4 linked regions of the Saccharomyces cerevisiae S288C genome follow. The gene in region 2 interacts genetically with the main gene of each other region. Each region holds a gene or a part of one and is shown on either strand. Other genes may lie near its edges. The genes, in order: DMA2, GIC2, MSB1 and BUD2.

What was found.
Region 1: mutations in GIC2 (region 2) and DMA2 impair growth when combined (synthetic growth defect), as found in Saccharomyces cerevisiae (one study listed by BioGRID).
Region 3: of GIC2 (region 2) and MSB1, extra expression of one rescues a mutant of the other (dosage rescue), as found in Saccharomyces cerevisiae (one study listed by BioGRID).
Region 4: mutations in GIC2 (region 2) and BUD2 are lethal when combined (synthetic lethality), as found in Saccharomyces cerevisiae (one study listed by BioGRID).

The regions. Positions count from the first base shown.
Region 1 is NC_001146.8:406,375-410,447, reverse strand, and holds DMA2 (ubiquitin-conjugating protein DMA2), read right to left. Parts: upstream 2,108-4,073; coding exon 539-2,107; downstream 1-538. Other genes in the region: YNL115C (uncharacterized protein), read left to right, coding at 1-329; malate synthase MLS1, read right to left, coding at 2,426-4,073. UniProt on the Saccharomyces cerevisiae protein: E3 ubiquitin-protein ligase which functions in cell cycle retarding in conjunction with the UBC4 and UBC13/MMS2 complex, 2 E2 ubiquitin conjugating enzymes. Involved in nutritional control of the cell cycle.
Region 2 is NC_001136.10:1,078,532-1,082,017, forward strand, and holds GIC2 (Gic2p), read right to left. Parts: upstream 1,669-3,486; coding exon 517-1,668; downstream 1-516. Other genes in the region: SUM1 (Sum1p), read right to left, coding at 2,597-3,486. UniProt on the Saccharomyces cerevisiae protein: Required for cell size and shape control, bud site selection, bud emergence, actin cytoskeletal organization, mitotic spindle orientation/positioning, and mating projection formation in response to mating pheromone.
Region 3 is NC_001147.6:683,727-689,697, forward strand, and holds MSB1 (Msb1p), read left to right. Parts: upstream 1-2,040; coding exon 2,041-5,454; downstream 5,455-5,971. Other genes in the region: TUF1 (translation elongation factor Tu), read left to right, coding at 304-1,617; IES4 (Ies4p), read left to right, coding at 5,898-5,971. UniProt on the Saccharomyces cerevisiae protein: May play a role in polarity establishment and bud formation. The MSB1 gene may be functionally redundant.
Region 4 is NC_001143.9:265,587-271,146, forward strand, and holds BUD2 (GTPase-activating protein BUD2), read right to left. Parts: upstream 3,874-5,560; coding exon 559-3,873; downstream 1-558. Other genes in the region: MBR1 (Mbr1p), read left to right, coding at 1-222; YKL091C (phosphatidylinositol/phosphatidylcholine-binding protein), read right to left, coding at 4,132-5,064. UniProt on the Saccharomyces cerevisiae protein: Stimulates the GTPase activity of BUD1/RSR1. Participates in the regulation of bud-site selection.

The sequences.
Region 1 (4,073 bases), on a different chromosome or scaffold from region 2:
GGCGTGATATGAAATATCAAGGACGTTTCTTGCGTTCCAAGTTTTTGGAAAGCGTGACGAGTTCAATTCTAAGTTACAGAGATGTGACAAACAATGCAGAATCTTTGCAAAATGTGAAGACAAGCATCGTTAGCTCTAAGGAAATGGTGAAGAAGTCGGCATTATGGGGCGATTGGCAAAGAGATTTGACCAAAATTTCTCACAAGACTCAAGAATGGAAAATAGTTGAAGGTGGGCATGAAATATATAAGTATGGTCTGGGCAAACAACAAACTCAAGAAGTCCTATTAAGATTAATAGGTGAGCTTGGCAAACTAACCGAGGATTAACCGAGTTCTTTACTTTTTTTTTAGTTTTATATGTGAAAGCAAAATTGACTGCCAACGATGGAGGTATTGTATTCCTGAAAACAATAAGTCAAATATGTAAACGGCGCAAATATATAAATACTAAGAGAATAATTAAAATAATATTAAGGTACGAGATGTGGAGTTCGGTGGTTTTTCTTTATTTTTCAAACTGTGTATTTTCTTTGACCTTAAGGATGGCTATCAACATCCTTTGAAGTTTCCATTAAGACGCTAAGTTGATCCACCAGTTGATCACCTTCACTTTCCACATCACTTTCATCTTCCTCGTCACTACTTTCAAAGGAGGCCTCCAAATCACAACTTGATCTACAGTTGGGGCAAACAAATTGCGGATATGAGAGCATGACCAATCTTCTTACACAACGGAAATGCCAGCTATGTGCGCATGGTGATATGAAAATTGCTTGACACGGTTTGATCTTACATAGGCAAATCGAACAATCTTCTTCTTCAATACCTGTAGTTAATTTTTGTAAATTCTGCAAACGCTGTAAAGCTTCTTTGTTGAACGAATTTGCCTTTAGTTTCCATGATCTATTTAGCTCAATCCTCATCCTTACACAACGATAGATTTCTTCCGTGCCACCTCTAAAATCCATTCCTAACTGTAAAATATCACCATCACGAAGAGGGGTATCTTTCGATAAAGAGGAAGCGGGTGAGAGCCTTTGGTGATTTAAGAAAGTTCCACTAGATGATTTCACATCCTTTATATACCAGTTACCTTGAGAGTCAACTTTAAAACAACCATGTGTCCTTGAAACAACTTTGGATTTAAATACAACTGGATGATATTGTTCAGGTATTTTAGAAATTGCATCGCGAACACGCTCAGTATAGCGGCCAATAACCAATTGGGATCCAGGGCCAGCCTTTCTTATAATCGGTTCAAAGAATAAACCTTGATTTGTCGTGGACGAACTATCAATAAATGGGGTTAGTCTTATACTAAAAAGACCATGCTTATCTTTCCTTTGCTTCAAAGTGACCTCATCTACATTGAACATATTGTTTGACTCCTCTGCACTTGTTGCAGGTAAATCCAAATGTAAAATTTCGGTCCCATTTGGCTGGTTTGCAGCATATATCAAGTGACGTAAATTCTTATACATTTCCTGACTGTTGTTAACAATAGTAGATCCATCTGCACCACCGACTATATTTCTCGTTGTAGCCGCTGGCGCCATGGAAATTATCGAGGTTGTGGTATTGTTAGTACCGTTAGGCTGCCGCTGATTCAAAGACTCTTGAACGTTACCAACATTGTTGCCTTCGAAATTATGCGCAGATGATTGCTGGTGGTCTGTGGTTGTAGGGGCAGTGAGAGATATGGAGATGGGGAGTTGATAGTTGCGATGAACGTGGAACTGGGCCGACAGAGGCATTTGTATAGGATGATGCAGACGTGGTTCCTGCTGTTGCGGAGCGGTATCGATACTTTCCATGGCCACACTCATATGTGAGTTAGATGGGGTTGTGCCGAATAGACGCTGATCAGGAGCCGCAGAAGAAGAAGCTGTCTGGCTATTTTGCCTAATTCCGAAGGTATTCAAAAACGAACTGATACCCGACGCCGGACGAGCCCGCTCATTGGATGGAGTACCACTGGCTCTGTTCCTTGGGTTTATGCCACTACTGCTAGTGGTGTTGGCATTTGATGCGGATGAAGAGTTGGACGTCATCGATGAAGTTGGTGCAGTGGGAGCAGGGGTATTAGCAGGGATAGGCGTGTACATTTCCACGGTATATCCTTTGCTGAAAGCTTCAAACGTATACAATGCGTTGCTATACTTTCTCGACTTCTTTTCAAATCAAAATATATGCCCACGTTTGGAGTCATCAAGTATTGTGTTTGAAATTCCACAACAATGGTTGATGCCTTCGCCGTCGACCGTGATACATTAATCTGGCCAAAACAAAAAAAGGAATCATGATAAGATGATTCATTGCTAACTACGAAACGAAGCAATATAAAGATAAGTTTTTGGATTCCGATACATAATCATATAGGCATGAATATATTTTTATATATGTGTACACTGGGGCAAGGGAGATCACAATTTGCTCAAATCAGTGGGCGTCGCCTTAGTGGACACAATTTCGTCGTACAACAATGTAGTCAAAAATTCACTGAATTTCTCGCCTCTGATTTCTGGCAAGAAATACTTAGCGGCCAGCGCGAATTTGTTCTTGTCACCCAATGGACTTGCCTTAGACAGTCTTTCCACTTGTTCTTTTAGAATCTTTTCGGTTAATTCTGGGGTGACCTTTTCTCCCGTGTCCTTTAGAGTAACACCGTGTTTCACCCATTGATACAATTGACAACGAGACACTTCAGCAGTGGCGGCGTCTTCCATCAAGTTGTTGATGGGCACACATCCAGAGCCTCTGAGCCAAGCTTCCATGTACTGCAACCCGATATCCAAGTTTTGTACAATTCCCTCGGTAGTAATCTCACCATTTGGAATTTTGGTTTCCAGCAGATTAGCAGCCGTTACAACGTTTTCAGGAATGAAATAGATTTGGTTTGGTGTTCCCATATTAATGAAAACTTCATTACAAATAGGGGCCAGTGCTGGGTGTGCAACCCATGACCCATCATGTCCATTTGTCAGCTCTCTAATCTTATCATTACGGACTTTAGTCATGGCCTTTTCATTGGCTGCCGGGTCGTCTTTGATAGGGATTTGCGCAGCCATACCACCCATGGCATGAACACCCCTCCGATGACAGGTATTGATTAATCTTTTCACGTATGCATCCATGAATGGGGAAGTCATAGTCACTTGATTTCTATTGGGCAAAATGTGATTAGGATCATTTCTTAATCTCTTGATTGTAGAGAAAATATAGTCCCAACGTCCGCAATTCAACCCACTAGAATGTTGTCTTAATTGATAGATGATCTCTTCCATTTGGAAAGCAGCAGGCAAAGTTTCAATCAACACAGTAGCTCTGATTGTACCCCTTGGGATCCCAATGTAATCTTGAGCTACACAGAAGACGTCGTTCCATAGTTTAGCTTCCAAGTGGTGCTCCATCTTTGGCAAATAGAAGTAAGGACCTTTGCCCAATTTGATTAATTCTTTGGCATTATGGTAGAAATATAAACCAAAATCAAAGATGGAAGCGCTGATTGGTTCATCATCTACATAAAGGTGCTTTTCCACCATGTGCCAACCACGGGGTCTCACGATAATAGTGGGCAAGTTGGCCACATTTCCATTCAATTTGTACGATTTTCTTGGTGTGTCAAAATCGATTTGATTTCTGATCGCGTCGTAGAGATTAACTTGACCGTAAACCATGTTGTTCCAAGTAGGTGAAGCTGAATCTTCAAAATCAGTCATATAGGTGTTCACAGGAGCATTCAAAGCGTTGATCAGCATATTTCTCAATGGAGGCCCTGTGATTTCCGTTGACCTATTAATTAACCCCGGTGCCAAAATTGGACCTTGCCAAGTGGGATCATTTCTAATATTTGCAGTTTCAGGCAGGAAATCCAGATGATAGGAGCCCGAGTCTAATTTCTTCTGAACAACTTGTCTGTTTTCCAATAATTGTTTTCTCTTGTTGTTGAAAGTTCTGTGTAAAAGAACAATGAACTCTAGAGCATCCTTGGTAAGAATATCTCCCACTGTAGTACTAGATGGTTTAAAGAAAGGCTCCTTATCAACATCCACCAGTAATTTGACGTTATCC
Region 2 (3,486 bases):
ATCTTTCAGAATTGATTTTTTTTCTAACTTTCTTGCAATGCGAACAAAGCTTGTAATTAAGCACGTACGGTTGGCCTTTAAAGGATTACAGAGAAAGACAAGGCTTCTACAGAAACAGCCACATGTTCTACAAAAGCGCACTTCACGCATATAAGCATATAAATGTTAGTTATATGAACAATCTTAAGTAATATATAATAAATCAGAAAAGTTTAACTGTAAAAGAAATTGTGTTTTAAAAGAAGATATAATAAACGAATGTATGGGATAACGCCAAGTTAAATGAATGTCCTTGTTTTGTAACTAAAGCAGAAGAAATAATATTGTTAGCTCTAGTTATTTTAATAGTGAAAAAATAGCCGAAATAAAGAACAAAGAAAAAAGAATGAGGAAACGAATGAATGAGATTAACGAGTAAAAAACGAATGAATGATACTTCAGATGGTCCTTGAATATGTTTTATAAGCTGATTCTTTGAATTTTTTTTTTTTTTTTTTTTCATTTTCTGTCCTTAGCTTAAGTTTGCAGGGGCTCGAGCTGGTTGAAAGAATAAAGAACATCATCGAAAGATTTTCTATGGTTTACAGGGGAGTCAGAGTAGGAAAATTTAGATTGTGGAGAAGGCGTAGCTATAGAGTTTCTTCTCTTGGGAAGAGGGCTTTGGCGTGAAGGAAAGAAGGCTTTTGCTGAGTCCTTATTTGAGTTTGGGGTCTCTAAAAGGCTACGATAAGCGCTTGACCTCTGAGAACGAGGCAAGAAGTCTAAAATAGGCTTATCTTCAAGTAGTGTGGGGAAGTTGTAGTTCTTCAAAAAATCCAGCGAAGACTCACTAGAATCCGTGGAATTAGTGTATCTATGACCCAGAGCGTGTGACTTATTTTTAAATTGTTTTGGAGATGCGTTTGGGGAATACTCAAAAATAGATGTAGCCATAGTTGACGTAGATACGACTCTCCCATTAATGGAATGATTGTTTCCTTGTGTGTTTTTAGAGTAATTGGAGGACGTTACTGAGATCGAACGCGCGACTGATAGTCTTGATGTCTTATTTTCGTGCGATCTTGAAATGAGTTTGCTTTCACGATTAGCAGGGATCCTTTCAGTGACAAAAGCTTTATTTAGTGATTTCGAATCCCGCTTGCTTGAGGAGGAGGTATAGTCGTCCTTAATCTCTGTGGACAGCGATGAAGGTTCCTGCAATTGCTCATCTTGGAATCCATTTCTAGTGTCAGCATGTGAAATATGTTGAAAATCAAATGGTGTGGAGATACCTTTACCTCTTATGTCCGGTTGGGCACCAAGCAACTTTTTCTTCAACAAATTAAGCTTAAGGAAAACCTTTTTGTGATTTGTCTTGTTGGCGCTGGACGATGATGACGATGATTCTTTAGACTTTGCAGAGTTAGAATTACTTCTCCTGTGGTGGCAAGACGGATGTGAATTTGGTGAAAGTGGAGGCAACTCAATGTTTTTCTTGTTACTCAGCACAGGTTTATCGCTGTTGATGAAAGTAATGCCTAGGTTTTCTTCATCATCAGATCCCATGAATTGCTGGGCCTGCAGACCGTAGAGTTTTTCAGCTTCTTCATCTTCATCCAGCCAAATCGACCGCATCTGTGGAAGGTTCATGGTTTCGTTTCCAGTATTGGTAATACTTGCACTAGTCATATTCGTTCTTTTGATAGCGTATTCTGTCAGGTATTCCTTTTGTTAGTGTTAGGTGTTTCGGAGCGAAAGATCGAGTTCGATAGCATAAAAAAAGAAGCTCTCTTGAGCAGTAGCAATAATATATACCAGACACGAAACAATCCATCAACAGGTCTCGTTTTACTGGAGTTTTACATTTTCAGTTTCTTTTTCGGATGCGAATGATCACTAGCTTGCAAACACGAATTGATCACGTTTCACAATTGTTCCACCAAACATGGCGATAACGGCAGCGTTTCCTCGAGAAATAGGCAACATCTAGATCTCGAAATGGTTGGTCTGCACCTGTTTCTGGGTGACCAATCCTCGGAGCCATTCCAGTGCTTAAGTCTTCAGGGGCCAGAACGCGTCTTTGCCGGGTGCCGCATTCTTTTGGCCCGGTCGCGCCTGCCCAAAGTAGCAATACACAACACCCAAAGAAGGAATTTCTTTTTCTGGAATATTAATGGAGCGGAGCCGCGCGCTTGCTGAACGCCAAAATTATAAAAACAAACTTTGCAGGTTTTTGAATCTGACGCAGTCAATCATGTTTCTTTTCTCGTGTAGGTTAATATAGATAAGCGCCCAGCGGTATGCTTTTTGCGTTTTTTGCTATTTTGAGACAATGGCGATAGTTTAAGTTTCTTAGTATGCAGAGGTGCTTTTGTACGACTGGGGCGTTCCTCAGCGCAAGAGTAAGAAATAGTTACAAATTCGTCGATAAAGGTGTATGTAATGTTAAGCGCTAAATATGTATGTAATGTTAAGCGCTAAATATGTAATGTTCCAAATAAGTTGGGAGGTTACTTGGTTGGGCATAGTAACGGTCCATTATTTTGTGTTTTTTTTATTTTTTTTTATTTTTCATTTTTTTATCTATTCTCGAAACTGCCCCAACGTACGGACCAGCTTAACGGATATCTGGCGGTATGATTCTGGAATATTTGACCTGGTTGTTTTCTGAACCGTCATCAAGGAAGTCAAAAATTAACATGTTGTCGATGGTTTCATTCAGATTGTCTTCGTTAATGCCGTCCTGACCCAATGCCGGCAGTGTTTCGTTATGGGGAAACATCCACTCTCTCCATTGAGTGGTCACATTGTCGCAGAGGTCGTAGAGGATCATTTTTAGCAGGGTAATATGGTTGTAGAACCATGAAACGGATCGATTAATAAATATTCTGTAGTTTTCCATCTCTTTCACCGCATGCAGGATGGTGTAGTTGTGGAATCTTCTTTTGTCTCTTGATTGGTCTCTCCAAAATTCGAAAAGGGCAAATAACGCCTTTCTCCTTTGCCAGGTTCTTTTGGATTCCCGAAGTTTTAAGCCTAGACCAACTAGTTTATTCTCCCACCTGAATTCCATCAAGAAGTACTCCAAACTGTTAACGTATTTCTCTGTCAGCGTTGTCTTGCTCAAAATTTCAAAGGCAAGTTCCGTCTCTTCTTGAATATCAGGCTTGAAGAAATGCGCATTCATTTTTTCATGCTTTGATTTAGCAGCATAATCCTCCTCATTGATGCTAGAGTTGATCAATTCCTCTTCTTTCGCCTTGAATTTAAATTCCAGGTACGCTCCTGTGGTAATGGGAACGTCCGGAATATCTCTCCGGTAGAAGAAGCCTTCCCGGCAGATTAATTCAATGGGAGTTGCCGTTAACAATGTATTGCGTGACTCTGTACCCAAACCGAGGTTTCCGTTGCCATTGCTACTATCGTTAGCAGACTCAGTATCGTTATGGATAGATGAAGTACCTTTGGATAAATCTGCGGAGATGTCTCCTGAGACATTCTCCACGG
Region 3 (5,971 bases), on a different chromosome or scaffold from region 2:
AACCCTGTTACCCGCATTGAAATTGACAGGCTGCCCATTGATTGGTCAGTTTCCCACTAACCCGCGCTGGAGCTGATTTTTCATATTTTTAAGGATTTTGTTTTAGCACCCATCCGACCTCAGTCAATATATCCTTTCGCGACCAGGCTTTCCTCCCTTTTGCTGCTAACTGGTTACAGATTTTCCTATTTTTGGTCATTTTTATCTTTGAAACTGATTAAGCTGAAAAAATTTGAGCTTCTTTGTTGTAAACTATTTTGTGCTTTCAGTTTTATTCTAGCTCGACAAAGGTAACAGACAAAAATGTCAGCTTTATTACCAAGATTACTCACAAGAACAGCTTTTAAAGCTTCTGGGAAACTTCTGAGGCTCTCTTCAGTAATTTCTAGGACCTTTTCTCAAACTACTACTTCCTATGCAGCTGCTTTTGATCGTTCCAAACCGCATGTAAATATAGGTACGATCGGCCATGTTGATCATGGGAAGACAACTTTAACCGCAGCCATTACGAAAACGTTAGCCGCAAAAGGTGGTGCCAACTTCTTGGACTATGCTGCCATCGATAAGGCTCCGGAAGAAAGAGCTCGTGGTATTACAATTTCTACTGCACACGTGGAATACGAAACGGCCAAGAGACATTATTCTCACGTCGACTGTCCAGGCCACGCTGATTACATCAAGAATATGATTACCGGTGCTGCTCAAATGGATGGTGCTATCATTGTTGTAGCTGCTACCGATGGACAAATGCCCCAAACTAGAGAACATTTACTTTTGGCCAGACAAGTTGGTGTCCAACATATTGTCGTTTTTGTTAACAAGGTTGATACCATTGATGATCCAGAAATGTTAGAGTTAGTCGAAATGGAAATGAGAGAACTTTTAAACGAATATGGGTTTGACGGTGATAATGCTCCAATTATCATGGGTTCTGCCCTTTGCGCTTTGGAAGGTCGCCAACCTGAAATTGGGGAGCAGGCCATCATGAAACTTTTGGATGCAGTGGATGAGTATATTCCTACACCTGAAAGAGATTTGAACAAGCCTTTCTTGATGCCCGTTGAAGATATCTTCTCTATCTCCGGTAGAGGTACTGTGGTCACTGGTCGTGTGGAAAGGGGTAATTTAAAGAAAGGTGAGGAATTGGAAATTGTTGGTCACAACTCCACCCCATTGAAAACAACAGTTACTGGTATTGAAATGTTTAGAAAGGAATTGGACTCTGCTATGGCAGGTGACAATGCCGGTGTTTTACTTAGAGGTATCAGGAGAGATCAATTGAAGAGAGGTATGGTCTTAGCTAAGCCAGGTACCGTTAAAGCCCATACAAAGATTCTAGCCTCTTTGTACATTTTATCCAAAGAGGAAGGTGGTAGACATTCTGGGTTTGGTGAAAACTACAGACCACAAATGTTTATAAGAACAGCTGATGTTACAGTTGTGATGAGATTTCCTAAGGAGGTTGAAGATCATTCTATGCAAGTTATGCCAGGTGACAATGTTGAAATGGAATGTGATTTGATCCATCCTACCCCATTAGAAGTTGGTCAACGTTTCAATATCAGAGAGGGTGGAAGAACTGTTGGTACCGGTCTAATCACACGTATTATTGAATAGACTTATTGATGCAACTGGAGTATATTTCTATATATTCTGTTCATTTCCCCTCTCATAATATATACTTGTTTCGTTAAAATTTTATACGTGTAAATAAAGTGCCATAAATTTTTCAGCTTTACTTTTGGTAGAGTCCTGCTAGCACTAGATTTTACAATTTCATGTGCACACACCAAGGACGTGTTCTTATGTATATGTAAAAGATATCAAGGCGTTTTTGAATGCGTTTTTGTTGATTTGTTTACTTTCCGGCGTATTCCTACGAAAAAAGCAAAGAAAAATACAAAAAAACGAAACATTCGCAAATGATGACAACTTGAAACCGCCAAAAGTCATCGCTTGGGAATTTTGAGGCAAGAGGCTGCTTCTATAAAAGTTTTCTTTACATGGCAAAAGGGTATTCGTATTAGGATAGTATTGGTTATGAACGATATGGCAAAACCTCTCCCAACTCCACCGACTGCTGAGATCAGGAAAAGTCGATCCAATTCACCAAAAAAAGCTCAGAAAACAAATCTAAGTCCAAACAAAAATCAGAATAATGAGAAAAATGTACCTAGATCAAACGGAAGAACCAAAAACGAACACAATAGTATGGATGACGAAGAGTTTGAATTCTTCCATCAATTTAGTCGGGAGAAAGTTAAAGGCGTCATACACGTAATCACCGCTGAACTTAAGGAAAAAGGTCCAGATGTTGAATTTTTAATGATACCGTTCAGGCCGGAACAGACGAACGACAAATTGCTGACATTACTAAATCAGCTATTCCCACTAGGAAACGGTCAACCAGTCAACGAAAAAAAACAGCTCAGAATTGTTTCCAAGGCCGATGTCTGGACTTTATTTCAATGCTTAAAATACATTTGGTGCAGACTTCCAAATTCAGAAATCATAGGCTGGAAATCTTATTTGGAGTTTAAATTCAGGGAAGAAGATAAAAAATTTCCTCGAAAATCATTTTTGGAAATTATGCCTCAATGTCTAGCTTCCCCAAATCATGCATCAATCGTTTACGATTTTTTTGACTTGATTATTTCAATTTCATCAAATTCAAGAGTTAATAAAATGAGTGCTAGAAAAATATCGAAGATGTGTGCAATCTGGGCGTTTAGTAAACAGATACCAAATTCTGATATCCAAGATTACGATTTTGAATCAGCCGCCATGAAGTCTTTTGCCCCCAACAATTCCATACAAGATGGGCTAGATCAGTGGATTCCGGCTTCAGATGCCATGTTTCACCTACTCTTAGCATTTCTAAGAAGTTTTGTCCCTCAAGATCTTGAATCGGCAAAGCTGCCGCGCACACTTAAGAGTTTACTATTCAATAATCAGTATCCTCCAAGAAAATCAACAGCGTACACATCAGAGACAATCCTAACCATTCCTCTGGTAACTTTAAAAACAGACGTCTTTTCGAGAAAACCTTGGCAATTATTGGAGCGTTGCAATGATCTTCTTGATTTCAGTGATCATGATGCATTCGAAGCAAGAGAGGACTACGCTTTATTAAAGTCTTTATTCAGAAAGAAAAATACAGTGGAGGGAATTAGCAGGAAAATGTCCCAGGAGTCAAGAAGGTTGATGAAAGCAATGTCTACCAAACATTCAACATTTCAACCAGGTTGGGCTCCCAGAGAATGTATTGAAAATATTTCTCATTTAAAAGAATGTATTGAGGTTAAAAGACTAGATATCGATGATTATTTTATTTGGACTTGGTTATCGTCCCTTTCTTTCGAACAAACATCCGAAAAGAAAAAAATTTTTGGAAGATCTATTATATTGGAATTTGAATTTGATGGATTTAAAAAATGGGTGGTTTTCCAAGAATGTGATATAACGTTAGATTATAATAAAAAGGGTCAATTGAAGAAAAAGACTTCTGCACAGTCACCAACGACCGAAAAGGAACTACCTCCTGATGACTTTGAATTAGAAGATCCACCTCTCTCCAAATCTCCTACACTATCTCAGACCTACAAAAAATTCCAAGCTGAGGTACCTCAGCAAAGTACTGTTCGAAGGGATTCAGCACCCGATAACCAAGGAATCTATCACACAGTCATTAGTAAAAATGCATTGACTAAAAATAAGCATAATGTGAATTTGCATTCTTTTGAACATAAAATCTCCAAATGGAATCCTCTAAACAACCTGCGAAAGAAAAGCGGTAGTAACTCTAGTAGTTCATCATTTGAGGAAAAAAGTAAAGACGCTCCCATCCGCGAAGAATACCATACCAACAAAAATCACAAATCGAAAAAAGAAGAGCGAGTACTATCTCAGTTTAGCACACTTAATCCTGATGAATATCAGTTACCAGTAATAGAGACCGGTTCATCAAACTTTAAGATTGAAATACCGGAATTAATGTACGAACACGATGATGACGACAGTGACAAACTTAAAAATTCCCAGAAAAGAGCTACCGACTCAGCTATTGAAGAATTAAACGGTATGGTTGAAGAAATGATGATTAATGAGCCAGACGATGTAAAAATCTCCATAACTGAGGCAGAGACTTTCGAATCATTGACAAAGTTTGATCAATATAAGCCATCCAATATAACTGACGATGACTTACAAAGCAGCCATTCAAGCGCCGTTCACTCATTGAAGCTAAGTACAAATACAAATGATTCTTGCGCTGATAGTTCCAAATACACCGCTGATAGGAAATTAGCGGAACCTAGAAAGATTTCTGAGGAATCCAAAGTCAACGACGATTCATCATCATATTATTCTCCAAATATCAACAACTTGCCGGCATCAAGAATGCCTAGTCAACCCACTTATTCAAATTCGGATTCGAAAAAGGCATTTACGAATGAGTCTCGCCTGAACGTCTTACAAGGTGCAGTCAGTCCATCTCAACAGGTAACACCAAAACCATATAAAAATGCGCCTGGAGACTGTGTATCTCCTGTTCAGCAAAAATACTATCAGAACGATCGTAGAAATGAAATGTCGCCTGCAAGTGCACCAGTTCCACCTTCTGCATATTCACCTGCGAGGTCTCCACAATTCTCCACCAATTCGGCTGGATTCAAGCAGAACACGATTAATGTACCCGTTGGGTATAATGATCCTGCTCACGTTTTAGCAAATCAACCACATATGACATATCGGGACCAGCATAATTATCCATCTCACCAACAAAAACAACGTCCCTTCCAAAACAATATTGTGCCCCCAGAACTAAAGTCCAGAAATCAACGGGCAGATGCTTCACCTATTCCCCAACATATGGTGCCAGTAAAACAAGGTGTGCCCAATCTTCCATCTAACGTTCCATTATATCAACAAATGGAACGAATGAACCCTAACCACCAGCACCCTGTAAATACTTACAAGGTAACTCAGCCGCCGTATCATAATAACACAACAAATGCTTATGGGAACAGCCGGGCAGGCAATGCTCATATGTTAGATGGAAAGTGGAGCAATAATCCGCCGCAAATGGTACCAAAGGGAGTTCGCCCCAATCAATATCCACAGCAGCACGTTAATAGGTATTCACCGCAAGCTCAACCTGTCGTACCTGCGGAATACTACAATGGACCTCCACCTATGCGAGCACCTCCAATGATGTCCCATATGGTACCAGCTCAGGAGCCGATACGTTACACAGCTGGTGCTAACAGGCGTAGTTTTCCCCAAGGCATGCAGCAGAATGCCTATTCCGTACCCGCTCAGCCTATGGGGGCTGTAAATAGTGAATTTTACCTACCAGAAGCTCCTCAGGGAAACAAACTGCATGGAAATATTAACAAAAGACAGGAGAGAAAGAAGCTATATGATAACATTAGAAGCGGAAATTTCGGCATATAGAAACACTTTGTATCTGAAATTATCATCTTTATGAAATCTCAACAGTTGTAAAATTTCCCGAATATTTATACATATATATGTGTATGTAATTACAAGTATTTAGGACAATAAGGAGAGATTTAAGTCTACTACATAATTTTTAACTCCTACAAATGGCAGGTTACGTTGAGTAAGAATATAACATTTTATTTTCCATATTCAACATCATATGCATTTTATCATCTCATCCTCTTAGTCACTAATTTTTCTAACGCTCATAACAAAAGGTGCGTTACGCCGTCTAGAGCTTTTCTTGAACGTTAAAACTTTACCAAGCAGTTGACGGGTAATCATTCTCATAATCCAAGTAATTTTAAAGATATCAACAAAATGTACTATAATGCCAACACATTCTTTACTTATATTGGCCGGAAGATAAATCCAATTTCTCGAGTAATTGTGGTATGTCCCAAGAAAGTAGTGTTTTATCAGAATCGCAAGAACAACTAGCCAATAACCCTAAAATAGAGGATACAAG
Region 4 (5,560 bases), on a different chromosome or scaffold from region 2:
GAAATATCATCGTGTTGTCCGAACGATACAGGGGACACCTCCTCATCATTATCACATTCGAACACTTCCTCATCACTAAATTTCCCTTTAGGTACAAATACAAATCAATTCCACCAACCAAGGCAGCCAGTACAACAGCAACAGTCTTCGAAACCAAACTTTGGTGCTGGGAGGAAAAAATCTTTCATTGAGATGTCACTAGCAAGTTCCTTTGCAGGCTAACATTCTCGCCACCTTGGAATAACCGTATGATGTTCAACTTTGTTATTTATTTCCACATTCTGGATCGCCATCTGTTCGTTTTTATTAAATATAATATATACCCATTTGTATCTCCTGTTTGGTTTCCAAATTTCCATATACTTATCGCTGTCTATCATCTCCTCTCGAAGCATTTTTTTATATACTATATTATGAGAAATCTTTCTGAAAAATTATGAATTACTTTTTTCTGCTGATAGTACAACCCGCTATATACTGTTACAAGTAGTGAATAAAGAAGTAAAAAAAAAAAAACTTTCAAAGGAAAGAATATGAAGTGAACATTTTTTTCTACGATTAAGATCCCCCTGTTTCTTTTTTCTTTTTGAACCATCTTGTCAGCTTACGGGAATTTTGTTCTTTAGGAACATCTGCGTTAGGAGGTTTCCTCATTATCCTAGATAACTTTGTCGGGGAAAATCTATTCCCCAAGTTACCTTTACCTTGCGAGTTTGGAAGCGTCAAGTAATCATCCTTGGCTCCATTTTCCGATGATGTTCCATGTACCGATGTTTTGTTGCTACTCTTGGGATTCTCATCACTTACATCAATAGTCAAAAATTTACAGTAACTATCTCCAACTGTGTTATTGGATTTACTAGAGACACCTTTTGTGAAGAATTTCTGCAATCTTGCGGAAGAGTTTTCATTTGTTGGTTTATTTAGTAGTTTAAGAACAATTTCTTTTCCCTCCTTTATTTCTTCATAAAAAATTTTATGTGAGAGTGAAATGGAGTATTTTTTGTCTTCAAACAAAGTGCTGGAAGCACATTCATAACCTGACAACCGTTTTCTAATATGATTAATCCTATTATAGAGTAAACATGACTCTTGCTCCAATTCTTTCATTGCATGCTTTTCCTCTTCTGCTTTCGGGATTATAGAATTAAATTTGATGCCTGAATTAGCGCCATTATCCAAATCTCTGCTTCTGGAACCTACATCATCGCTTTTCAGTAGGTTCATTAAATCATCTCCGAAGATCTCCGTGTTGTTTTCAGTTATTTTCTCAAATTCTAACTCTCCAATTTCTGGCTTAACCTCAATTGGTGAATCCAAATCTTTTTTATCCACAGACAAATTTAGGCTGCTACCGCTTAACAGGCCCTCCTCTTCGATTAATTCTCCCTTCCCACCATTATCCATGTGATTGTATTTTTCCATCTTGGTCATATCTTCCTGACTGAAATTAACAATCAAGTTAACAAACTCAGTTTCTCTCAAATTCTTATCAAGCAGATAAGGAATCTGAGGCAAATCATCCAACATCGTTTGTTCAATGGCCAATTTGGGTCTCGAAATAGTAGAACTTAGGTTCAATATCTTTGAATTAAAATCTAGTTTCTTTTGCGTCATTTTATCAATGTAATCTAATAAGTCATTGTGTCTTTTATCGATAAAGTTATTCATCTTCATTAGCCAGGGCTCTTTGTTTGCAAACTGCGTCAAAGTGGACAGATTAAGTAAAACTTTACTTATTAGGGTAAGATTCCTTCTTGCTGTTTCGTTTAAATTTTGAGAAACATATTTGAATAGCTTAGGGTTTAATATGACTGGACAAAAAAACCTTAAAAACAATAATCCTGATATACCATTCAAAATTATTTGCAAAGTGTCATCGATACAAATTATCTCTAGTTTTTGCCTAAAGATTTTTAAAACATTTCTTATTTCAATCGGCAGGTCATTACTCGTTGCATACAGCCTTTTCCAAATCTTCGTAACCCAAGAATACAATCGTTTGTAGTTGTCGGCAATTATTTTCCTCTTTTTTACTTCATCTTTTTCTTTTACTCTAGCAGGATCCAATTCACATGATTTGTTTGACTCAATGATCTCTTTTAGTATTGCACTAAGCGCTTTACTCAAATATTCATTACCCACTCTGAAAAAGTACTGTTCAATCGACTTTGTTAAGATAGAGTTACCACGGAATAAACTGTTGAAAACATGCTTTGAGTCTAAATTTTTCTGGTTTATTCTTGAAACCGTTCCATCAATTTTAGCCAATTCTTTGTCTATAAGGACGTGGAACCATTCTTCTATTCTTGACAAAGATTGGAATATATCGAGAAAAATTATGGATGTTTGCGTCAATTTGTTATCATTCTCCATTGATGAAGAAGATTTGTAAATTAGATTGGAAACCATGGACAAGTTTGCGTTCATCAAAAGTTTTTCCAATTTAACGAAATTGGTTGACGGTAAAATGAAGTTCAAATTTGAAGAAATTTTAATACAGATTGTTCCTATTTGAAAATTTTTGTTATCAACGTCCATGATGGGTAGTCTTGTTTCCTTATTATATCTTGTATCATTTATTATTTCTTGTGTGATTTTTATTTTGCCTATCAATCGTAACCGTTTTTTATTATTGAGATCGTGGAATAACTGCTTGATTTCCAGATAAGAATTAGTAAGTCTTAAAAGTTCATTGAACTGAAACTCTTCTCTCCAAAATGGATTAGAGGAGTTTGAAACCATGGATGTTCTAGCCCATGTATGGCCCCAGGCCGTTATGTCTGTGAATATTGACCATGGCGTATTATTCTTGTCATTTAAATTGATTGACTGAAAATTAGCTTCCAGTATGGAAATTTTAAAGCTATTCGATATCTTCATATCATTTGATTTATCTGAGCCAGTAATAGATAAGTATTCCGACCTAGCGAACGATTGTAACGCTATAAAACAATCCTCCAGGTCTATTCTTAAGGGAAACTCTACAATAATTTCTTGAGAAATATCACTAGAGTTGGTGGCAGCACTGGCAATATTTTCTATGCGAAACTTTTCGAGGCCCAACTGGCTCCTTAGTAATGGCAATTCACCTAAAAACAAACTGTTTTCACTTTGTAAAACAGATGAATCCAGAATTCTTATCTCTGATCTTAAAAGCTGGCTAATATTCAATGAGTAAATCAGAGAGCCGTCACTCTGTAAAAGAAGATCTAGCATGCCGTTTGATTTAAGCACCCCCATAGCGGAAAACCAACCTACGCTGTTGTCATCATTATTAATTATATCAGGGCTTTCTAAAATATTTGTTGCTGGCGGAAGGACGATGTTCTTAACGATGGGCCCAAAAACATTCAATTTGTAAACCAGCAAACTTTCTGGTTTCGCCATTTTTTTGCTTTTAAATTCTAGAGGTCGCGATACTTGAAACTTATTAAATATACCATTTGTCTTCATTGAGCTCCACCAGATCAGACATGTTAGCAATTTCTTGAAATCACTCCAACTTTTAACTCGCAGGTAAACTTTATTATCTTTACCTGAGGTGTTTACTTGGATTATAAAATTACAATTTGCATTAATATCCTTAAAAGAGGAATGCTTATCCTTAATAATCTCGATTCTACATTGCTGTAGATGTTTGATAATTGGCTGAATATTAGTAGAGTCTGCTGTTAACTCATCGATTGAGTGGGTTAGTGCACCTGTACTGGTAATTTGCAGATAGTGTGTCTTCCAGTCGTTTAAGGACAGGTTATTACACCACTGAATCTCACCCTTAAAGGTATTCTTGTAATGCTTAACGTTGGACAAAAATTCATTCAATTTGAAATATGATGTTCGACTTTGGGCCGGTTCATTGTTGGAGCTCATAATATGATACAATCAAAGATAAACACCACGACGTATGCACGGATAAAGTTTTCAGTCTGACCGAGTAGTTATTCCTACTATTTTGTTGTTTCTTCCTCCGTTTTCATAAATGGCGTTTGTTTGGATACCTTTCTTTTTTATCGAACAGAACGCGTTCAAGAATGAAAGTCATTAATTATTATTAGATACAGAGATATACATATTATAGAGTATGCATGCTATATTCACGGAAAGCTACGACGAAGGCCTGTATCATAGTTAGCTGGTAACAGTAAATTTACCAAAAATGTTGGGAATTTCACCTTCTGGTCCGATGTATCTAGGGTCTCTCCAGGGACCAATATCGGAATAGTAGAACTTATCATTAGGGTTGTGCAAGACAGATGTACCACCATATTTAACAGGCAAGTTCTCGATTGGAATTTGTTTTAATAATTCCTTTTTATAAGAAGAGCCAAGAATAAAGATTTTTGACACGGTTACTGGATCCAAGAAGGGTTTAACCATCTTGAACATCGTCGAGAAACCAAATGGACTGTGTATAATATAAAACTTACCCATTCTTTCAGGATAATAATTTTGACTGATATCTGCAACATCTTTAATATAGGAAAGCACATGATAAGCATTAGAAAGTGAGATACCCTTCAAGTCCAGCACAGTGCACGAAGTTTCAATAAGGTAGCCAGCTCTTCTCGAACACGCTGGGACCCGGTACGTGGCAAATAATTCGTACTCCTTGACTAAGTTTCTTAGCATCTGTTTTTCGGTAGTGATCTTGTACATTTTCTTTAAGTTAATTCCTCCTAGTTCTTCGAAGTACAATGGTCTCCCATCCTTATCAACGTGATGGTAATACTGAGGGTACATTTTGGCCAATTTGATTCTTTCTTTGTCTTCGGCTTCCTTGTTGTTTTCATAATCCTCGATAATAGTGTTGGCACCGTATTCTTCCCTCCATCGTTCAGTTTCTACAAACATCTCAACGCTAGCATTGATATCAAATTTCCTTGCCCGTAGAAATCGCAATAGCGTAGAATCATCCAGCCTTTCTTTGTAATTCTTTTCTAACAAGATTGACCTAAATTGCAAAAGCGCTTCCTCTTGCTCCTTAGTCAAATTGCCGGGAGTACCTGGCAAAGCATTGGGGGAGCATATTTGAGGATAAGTATCGAGTATGCTGGTTGTCATTCTTCCTTTCCAGTTTTAACAGTGCGCAAATGTATTGCTTTTCAGATTTATTTCCCCGTTATACAAGTTCAAGGAAATGTTTGAGTAGAGAGAATCACGATCTAAATAATAATCCGAAGAATTTAAAAAGGAGTAAATAGGGGCATACAAGAGGGGGAATTTCAGAAGTGCCTGTTATGTAAAAAAGATATGATAACACATAATGGATTGCATACCAGTAAATTTCCATATGTACTATGCCGACCTCTTTTCATGTAAACGCCTTGCAAATTCATACTTAATGATTACAAGAAAGTAATATGTAAATTTTAAGCTCAGGTTCAAGGTTTATAAGGGCCTTCGTCTCTGATAGAAGAATCAAGTTGGTAAATCCAAATGGAAGTACGGGTCCCAATAGCAGGTTTGATTTTTGAAGGTGACTCGAGATATATCAGCTGCCGCCCCTGAATCAGCAGTAATTATAACTGAAGAGAACGGACAATGTTTTACGTATAAT